2 linked regions of the Canis lupus familiaris genome follow. The main gene of each other region encodes a partner of the protein of the gene in region 2 in a complex. Links are inferred from orthologs where the notes say so. Each region holds a gene or a part of one and is shown on either strand. Other genes may lie near its edges.

Region 1 (4,325 bases), on a different chromosome or scaffold from region 2:
CATCTCTTTAACCGGAGATTTGACCTCTGTACAGTTATTAAACACCAAGAATCCCTCAGTGCTCCATCCTGGGTCCGTTTTTTCTAGCACTACACTCTCCTTAGGCAATTTCATCCACATGCATAGCTTCAGTTACTATCAACATGGCAGATGACACATATACATGAATTTATACAGCCTGTCCAGAGCTCTCCTTTGAGCTCCAACCCACTACATCCAACTGCCTCCTTGACAGCCTTAGACCTGTCCCCAGTTAAGAGACTTGTCCATACTGCCTACTCCCCCCACCCCCGCCAAAAGGCATTTACAGAGCCGAAATTTTGAAAACGATTACCACAAAACCACTACAAGCCAATTCTCCAGAACACAGGATTTTGTCATCAGTGATCATTTCCTTTCCGTGGATCATGACCTAAAATAGGTAAACCTGACAACCCGATCTGATAGCTAGAAGAGGAGGAGCAACCAAACGCACGACAAAAATACAATCCATGCCTTCCAGTGAGAGACAGACAGGAGAGGGAAGAAGACGAAAAATGGTCAAGAGAGACTATCCAAGGCCTGATGGGTGTGCGGCAACAGAAGTCACCTGAAGAGACAGCAGGCCTTGCTAAGGGGCGGGTGGCGGGCGACGACAGCCCCCAGCGAAAGGGGGCCAGGTTTGGGTTGCGGAGCAAGAGCGTGACAAGGAAGACCAGGTGAAAGGAAAAGGAAAGCCTGGGGGGAAACCCCAGAGGAGTACCTGTGAGGCCCTGGGAGCGCCGAAGGGGTGGGGGTGAGCGGAGCAGCAGCGGGGCGAACTCCAGAAGAGTGAACGCCGAGTGGGCGGACCGCAAGGGGCGGGGGGCGGGGGAGGGGGACCTGGGAAAACGGCTCGGTTGAGAAGCTGGCCGCCGGGCCCACCTTACCTGTGCCTGCGGGTCCGGAGCCCTGCACCGGCCTGCCGGAAGCACAGAGTCCGCGCGGAGGGGGAGGAGCCGAGGGTAAGGAAGGAAGGGACACCGGGCACGGAGGAGAGGGGCCGCTCACTCCCCCTAGTCAGGGAGAGCGGCTGATGGCGGGAACTGTGACCACACGCAAACACGCACGCACGCACGCACACTCGACGCGCCCGGACGAGGCGCGTGCGCGCAAGCCTGCAAGCTCCGCCCTTCCTACGCCTTCGCCCCGCCCCGGCACCGAGCGCCGCCTAGCCGAGAAGGCCCCACCCCCGCGGGGAAGTGGTACGCATGCTCACTCGCCGCTTCACGCACTCTGGTCCTCCCATCCTTTCCCTCCTACACAGCCCGGTCGGGCATGCGCACTACGTGTCCTCCGAGACCGTCCGGCTTTTCCCGCCCTTCCCTGGCCTCCGGAGGAGAGTCAGAGTTCACGCCCCTGTCTGGGGAATACCTGCGCAAAGCCAGAGGCTGCGGGGACTAGTAGGTGGCAGACGTCCTTCTGGCTCAGAATCTTAAGGGGTAAAGGACATACTCTGGGACTCAACTCCGCCGAGAGCCAGGAGGCGGGAAGAGGTGTGTGGGCGGGGTCAGGGGTGAAAGGTCATAGGGCCGCGAAGGGGGCGGAGCGAGCCGGAGGCGGATGGCGGCTGCGGCGGCTCTTCATCTCTGGCGGCAGAGTCACTGAAGCGGGGACGCGGCTGCGGCGCGTCCGGCAGCGGGAGAAGAGCGGCGGCCGCTCCCAACATGCACAGCCTGGCGACGGCTGCGGTGAGTGGCTGGGCGTTCCGGCCTGGGCCCACACCCCCTCCTCAGCCCCGCGTCTCGGCCTGCTCTCGGCGGTCCCCGTGTCGGGCCCGGCGTCCAGCTCCTCCTGCCCCCCGGCTGCGAGGCCCCGGCCCTCCTCCTCGTCGCGCCCGGACCGTGGCGGAGCTGACCCCCCACTTTTCCCTCGGGTCGGCTCTCGCGGCCTCCTGCGCCGCGTATCGCGTTCTTTTCCGGCCCCGGGGCCTGGTCCCGCGCCCGAGCGCCTCCCTCGCGGCCGGGACGGGCCATTCATTGATTCCCTGCGCTGACCAACAGTTTCAGGTGCCGGTTGCGTGCCGGGCGGCGGCGGGGATGACGGGGAATTCCGTGGTCGATCCGACACGGCCCTTGCGCTCGGACCTCATGCCCCGGCACTTTGCAGCGGGAAGGAAATGGCTTCTAGCTCGCCCCACTTGCTTCACAGGTGGAAAATCTGAAAGTGGGAGAAGTGAATAATTACTACGTCTGACTTACGGTTCCCTGCGCTTAAAAGTCCCCCCCCACACACACAGCTCATTTTACCAGGGCGGTCTTTTAACAAGAAAAACGGATCGTGTAATTCACCCGTCTGAAGTAATTTTTTGGCTTTCCATTGCATTTACATAAAATCTAGACTCCTTGCTGGGGCCTACAAGGCCCTCCCTGTGCCATACGGTCCCTACCCACGTTTTGCGGTGTAATCTTACATCACTTGCTCCGTAAGCTCCAGCTACATCGGCTGCCCCTGCTTTTCCACTCGGCTTGCACTTTCTGATCTCTATTCCTGGGATGCTCTTCTTACCACGTACCCACCCCCAGTTGCACATGCCCATACACACCCAAACTGGATCCTCTTCCCTGGGGTCTCTGCCTAAATCTCCTTAAAATAGCCTTCCCTGAGCACTCTTTTTAAATAAGTTCTGTAACCCCCAACTTTTCTCCGTTAAAATATCTTTATCAGCGCTGATCCCAGTTTTGTCATTTCTGTGTTCATTTACTTGTTTGTTGACTGTCTGTCTTGAGGGCAAGGACCGAGATCCTGTGGGTCCTGTTTACATGGTTACCCCAAGTGCCAGGACAGTTCCTGGCACAAAGTAAGGGCTCAATTATTTTGCTGAATGAAAGAGTATAGATGAGGGAGGTGACTACAGAGAGCACACAGCCATAATGGGAAAATGAGATCGTGTGATTGGAGTACACTCTTCTGAATACCAGTTGCCCTTTTCCTGTTTAACTAAGATGAAGTGACTCAAGAGGGGTAGTATACTTAAATTGTATTATCAGGAAAAATGACATAAGTACTAAACAGGGAATCAAAAAAATTACTTTAAATATAAAAAGTGGAAAACTGGTATTGAGTATGACTCAGCTGTAGAAAACATTGCTATCTCCAGGGCCAGTGGCATCTCTGCCTCCTTGTCATCATGTTTCTAAGTGTTCATAACTACTCAGTGGATACCTTTACATCTTTCAGTTAGTTAATTGCGGTTCCTCCAGCTTTGTTGTTTCTTCTCCTAAATTATACATGCAGTTGAGGAAGAAGCAAGTCAGAAGATGAGGCTGCTGTTGGTAGGGGAGGGATAGGTTACACAAAGGATTCTTCTAAGCTTGGTTTGTCCAATTCTCAAAATCTGATTGTGTCTTCTCCAGGCTTTGATACCAAACTACTCTTTTGTCCATGACTCTCCAAACACCATGCTTACTCAACTCCTTTTATTTTTACTTGTTCTATAATGCATCGTTTAAGAGTTATTATTCATTTATTTTGAGAGAGAGGCAGAGGGAGAGAGAGAATCTCAAGCAAACTCCTGCTGAGCATGGAGCCCTACTCAGGGCTCAATCCCACAACCCTGAGATCATGACCTGGGTGGAAATCAAGAGTTGGACTCTTAGCGGACTGAGCCACCCAGGCACCCCAAACTAATGTATCTTCTGAACAGCCATTAAAGCTGTGGTTCATTACTTATAATAAATATTCAATATGTGTTTCTTTAATTAAATTTGCAGTGCTTTACATTGATTTAAAATTTAAGATTTTAGATACATTTTCATCCATCAGTGCTTTTGAGCTCCCACAGAAGCTCTGAGAAGTTCCTTTGTAGCATTCATTCCCTAAACTATTTGATTACTGAGGAAACTGAAGCATTGACAAGTTGAGCCACCACCTCTTTCCCAATCCTTCATGCATTCTATTAGACTAAACTGCCTGTGTTATTCTGATCTGGGTAAAGGGACAGTAATGGTATATGATAACATACAATAGTGCCTGCAATAATCTAAGCCACTTGAGAAGATGTTTTTTTGCTTGATGACAAATTTTGTACTCGTGTGTACCTTTATCTTTTTTAAAATAACAAGTAGAGGGCAGCCCGGGTGACTCAGTGGTTTAGCGCCGCCTTCAGCCAGGGTATGATCTTGGAGACCCAGGATCGAGTCCCACGTCGGGCTCCCTGTATGAAGCCTGCTTCTCCCTCTGCTTATGTCTCTGCCTCTCTCCCTCTGTGTGTCTCTCATGAATAAATAAATAAAATCTTTAAAAAAAAAATAACAAGTAGATCATCACTTCAGCTAGAGCGATAGTACTATCAAAGGAGAATGTGA
Region 2 (4,509 bases):
TACAAACATAAGAGTAAAAAGAACAACGCTAAACTATTGTGTATATATAGGGTGCTAAGGGTTTTGAGCCCCTTTTAGCTTTGAAACATGCTTCTTAAAAATTGTGAGCAAACAGAAAAGGAAATGTAGGACTTTGCTATATATAAGGTCTTAAAATAAGACTCGGTGGGATGCCAGTTTGAAATGTCCCAGCAGGAAGTTCAGTTTGGTCAGAGGGCCATTTAAAAATGCTTCAGCTAATATTTTTAAATGACCTGAAAGTTAGTTTTGTACTAATAAAGTATACCAAAGTTCATAAAATACAGCATTTCAAAATGGCAGGCTATTATTTTTGGTCATTCCAGAAGCATAAACATCTTAACAAAAATTAGTGCCTTAAAGAATGTGTGAGGGGATCCCTGGGTGGCTCAGCGGTTGGACTCCAGCCTTTGGCTCAGGGCGTGCGTGATCCTGGAATCCTGGGATGGAGTCCCACATCGGGCTCCCTGCATGAAGCCTGCTCTCCCTCTGCCTGTGTCTCTGCCTCTCTCTCTGTGTCTCTCGTGAATAAATAAATAAAATCTAAGAAGAAGAAAGAAGAAAAAAGAAGAATGTGTGAGCATTTAATTAGAATTATGGACAAATTCCCTTCCACGCACTGAATGCCCAAAATTTTGTTACCTCATGGAATGAAAAAAAAAATTCAAGTTCATCAACTCAGGCTGCTCAAAAAGTTTTTCATAACTACGTATCAGAATCTAACAAAAAACATGCTTAGAGAAAGCAACATGCAATGATGAGATCAGTCTTTAAGCAGGGTCTTGAACAGACAGCATTTCCTCTTGTGTTCATACAGTTATACAGTTTGTTTCTAAACGACATAACCCAAAGTTAAAACGTCACAGTACTTAGCCTGACAAGATTCCATTTTGAAGAGAGTGGGATTTAAACAAGCCTAGTAGAAATTTAGAGATTAGAGGAAAAAAACTAAGCCAGAAACTAATATATTTGACTTAGGAACCAAAAGCATTTCAGTCCCACCAAGATGCCACAAAACCCTGCTTTAAAACCTCTAAGGTTATATCTTAAGCAAGAAAGGGAAACGCTGTCAGTTATTAATGGTCCAGTCTTTGTTCCTTGATTCTAGAGTTAAGTTTCCAATAAAGGTCTTGGGACCAACACTTGTTGAAAAGGGACCAACCCTCTCAACAGGTTTTATCAACATACTACCATTTTAAAGTAAAACTGGATGCCTAAAACTTTATGTATCATCGGCTCATTTTCTGCTAAGACAAGGTAACAATTTGCAGTGTCCCAAAACAAGACTACTTAAACTGTTACCATATATATTAATAGCAAAAATACCACGCTGCCCAGCTTTAGAAGGATAAAGTCAACCTGAGCCACACATTACTAACATATTAAACCCAAATACCCCAACAAAAACAGGCTTGCTCTAAATGTTTGACCTTTCTAATTTTTTCCTTGTCCTCCCCTTTTTTCATATATGTATCCTTATTCCTATCAAACGGATTGTCACGAGGGCCATGATCAGAATTTTTTACCCCCCAAATACTCAATTATAGTTTATTCAAATTACTGGCTGTTAAATCTTCCAAGGCAACAGAATTACAGAGAAAAGGGGAAAGAAGCATCGTTACTCTGCTTACAGGAAGAAAACACTTTTTTTATTAGAGTCCTAAGCAATGGGACATTTGATTGGGTGGCTTCGGGGGGGGGGGGGGAAAGCCTACTTCTCAAAGTTTACTTTAAACACAGCATTTCCAAACCCACAGGTATCAGACATTTTCTTTCTTTTTTTTAAGCTACAAACCTCACTCCTAGCGGGGATAATGATCTGTGTGAGGCTAGCTGGGCAAGTTTTGCAGAGGAACTGGTACCGAATGAGTTATTTTGTGTTTGGCCTCAAGCAACCTCTCTGCTAGAGGTGCAGGAAGGAAGTCTCTCCCCAGCGCCCAGGCCTACAAGCGCTCCGCTCACTGGGGGGACACTTGGGGGGGGGGGGGGGGCCGAGCCGCCTCTACAGCTCAGACTCACCGGCCCGAGTGGGCGACTTCGGAGAGAAGTCGGAGCGCCCCGGCGCGCGACTGGAACAAAACCTGTGGCCAGAAGTAATGAGGAAGTGCTGGCTCCCGCCCGCCCCTCGCACCGGCGGGCACCGAAACACCCGGGGGGTGACAACGTGCTGGGGGCGCAGGGAGCGGGCGGCCGGCTCCGCATCCCCCAGAAAGACCCAGGCGCCTGCAGCCACTCCAGCCACGGACCCTCGCCTCGGGAACTAGGCCTCGGGGGCCGGAGCCCGCTGCACCCCTCCGGAAGCCCGCAGAGAAAGGGGCAGTTGAGGAGCTCGTGGGGTCCGACGAGGGTGCAGCGGGCGCCCAGCGCGGCCCAGCCGCCCCCCCGGCCGCCCCCGCGGCCCCCAGGCCCTGCCGCCTGCCGCCGACCGCCGCGGGGCTCACCCCGCGCTCTGCGCTCCGCTCGCTGAAGCCTCCGCCCCAGCCTCCTCTCTTCAGAGCCCGAAGGCTCCGCCAGCCGTGGAAAGAGCCCGCCGTCTCCCGCCTCCCCACTTCCCGGTCCCGACTGCCCCTCAGCCCGCGGAGCTCCGGGAAACGCTCCCAATGGCCCCTGGACCGCCCCCGTCCCTTCGCCCAGGGGCGCTCGCGCCCCGACGCTGACACCGCCAGCCGGCTGCAGCCGCCGACCCCGGCCCGCCTCACCTCAGGCGGCTCCGGCAGCGCTGGACACAGGAAACTCCTGAGTCCCCGTCTCCGGCTCTCGTCGACCCCCTCTTCGGTTAACTCCGCTTGTTTCTCTACAAAATGGCGCCGGAGGTCGCGCGCTCACGTCGCGGCCTTTCCCCTCCCCGTTCCCATTTCATCATTCGCTGCCCGCCCGAGGAGGGACGGCCCCGGCACCAGCCAATGATGGGCCCCAGCCCGGGGCTCCCGCCCAATCACCGTCAGGTGCCCGCGGATTTAAACCAATCATACACTATCACTTGCAGAAGTCAAGGAAGAAACCAGGCTCCTGCTAGCAACTACCAATCCGGACTCCTACTTCGCGGGCTCGGGCCAATTGCCGCTTCCCCGTCCCTGGGGACGGGAGTCGGGGCCCTCGCGCCTGCGCTCGAGAGGAAGACCAATGGGGAGACGCAGACAACTTCGATTTGGGGCTTCACGGACTTCCCACCGGCCCTCGAGGTCTTCGACCAATCGGAGCCTGGCAGTGCCTCTGAGAAACAATAAATATGGGAGGGGCCCCATAAACCCTCGCCACCCCGCGCGGGAAGTACTTTGAATGAGCGTTAGACACTTTTCCCGACTCTCCTAACCCCTTTCGAAGTGCCGGGTCCGGTATACAGCGGGGCTGCACCCCCCTCCCCTGGCGTCCCTTTGGTAAGAACGCCAGTTACCGGAAAACAAGCCAGGAGCCAGGCTATAACTACGGGCGGGGGGTGGGGCGGGGGGGGCTCTGCGTTCTGGGACGTGTAGTCGTCCCTCTGCCCCGCGCGCCATCCTTGACGCTGAAGTATCGCGTCTTCTTCCGCCACGGACTGCGTCCTAAGGGTGCATTGCATGCTGGGGAATGTAGTCTCCTACCTGGTCCTAGTTTGCCACACGTTTATCAGAACTTTCTCCTTATCTAGTCCTGCCTATTGAAGAAGGGACCCCTTACAGAAAGATGGGAAGCTAAGATTCTCTTTTTGACTTAGCCCTATTAGCAGTATCAGGATACCTATCAGAGAGGTATCAGAAAGGCTCTCATTAGAAAAAGCATAGAAACATACCTTTGCTGCGATTTACCTATATCGGATTGTAAGATTTTATGGTCACCTGTTCCCACACAAAGGTGGGAGGACGGGGAAGGAAGTGATGACTGCTTGGTTTTTCTACCTTTTGGGGGAAAAAAAAAAAAAAAAGACCCTCCTCATCACTCCATCCTGCATCCTGGGCTAGACTCAGTGGCTTGTCTCCCAACCATCTGTCTCATGCTACCTTTTGTGTCTAAAAATACTTTATTTTAAGATATTTATTTATCTGAGAGAGAGCATCACAGTGAGCGACCACAGACGGGATGAGCAGCAGAGGGAGAAACAGAAGGAGAAGCTGATCCAGGACCCCGGGATCACGCCCTGAGCCAAAGGCGGATGCTCAAACACTGAGCCACCCAGGCGTCTCTTTTTAAATTTTTAAAAGAGACAAAGTGAGACCCATAAAGGTCAACTATCTGAAGTCAACTCTGAAATTCTACAACTAGTTCAGGCCTCAAACATAGATCTCCTAAAATAAGTTGAAATAAAACTGAGTTGCCTTTCCCCACTTCAGTCTGTCTTTGCCAGAAAATGGTTTGCTACTTTATATTGAGGCTGTTCCAGGACATTCTTAACCCACCGACAGTCCCTCCCCTAAAACGACATCAATGCCACTCCTAGAATTTGACTTGCCTTGGGGACTTAGCCAAGTAGCTGTAGGATTCACACAGTAGCCTGGAGATCAAAGTTCTTCAACT

What was found. The genes of interacting proteins can lie anywhere in the genome.
Region 1: the proteins of CNOT1 (region 2) and CNOT9 are in contact, whole or in part, in a crystal structure (PDB 4CRU), measured with the Homo sapiens proteins. The link is inferred for Canis lupus familiaris from reciprocal best matches to the Homo sapiens genes CNOT1 and CNOT9. Residues at the interface, in NP_057368.3 of Homo sapiens: Ile1415, Ala1416, Thr1418, Thr1419, Gln1422, Ile1423, Lys1426, Asp1427, Phe1428, Met1444, Asn1447, Leu1448, Gly1451, Met1452, Met1454, Ile1455, Arg1458, Glu1459, Tyr1548, Gln1549, Arg1552, Met1553, Pro1554, Gln1556, Ile1557, Leu1559, Val1564, Lys1567, Gln1568, Leu1569; in NP_005435.1 of Homo sapiens: Arg19, Glu20, Tyr23, Ile26, Asn27, Ser30, Ser31, Pro32, Arg35, Pro54, Met55, Trp57, His58, Ser59, Phe60, Gly61, Ile63, Ala64, Ala65, Leu67, Gln68, Val71, Asn72, Tyr74, Pro75, Ser76, Ile77, Asn78, Pro79, Thr81.

The regions. Positions count from the first base shown.
Region 1 is NC_049258.1:25,060,618-25,064,942, forward strand, and holds the start of CNOT9 (CCR4-NOT transcription complex subunit 9), read left to right. Parts: upstream 1-1,280; 5' UTR 1,281-1,685; coding exon 1,686-1,709; intron 1,710-2,030; exon of another isoform or gene 2,031-2,169; intron 2,170-4,325. UniProt on the Homo sapiens protein: Component of the CCR4-NOT complex which is one of the major cellular mRNA deadenylases and is linked to various cellular processes including bulk mRNA degradation, miRNA-mediated repression, translational repression during translational initiation and general transcription regulation.
Region 2 is NC_049223.1:57,306,588-57,311,096, reverse strand, and holds the start of CNOT1 (CCR4-NOT transcription complex subunit 1), read right to left. Parts: upstream 2,867-4,509; 5' UTR 2,718-2,866; exon of another isoform or gene 2,675-2,717; intron 1-2,674.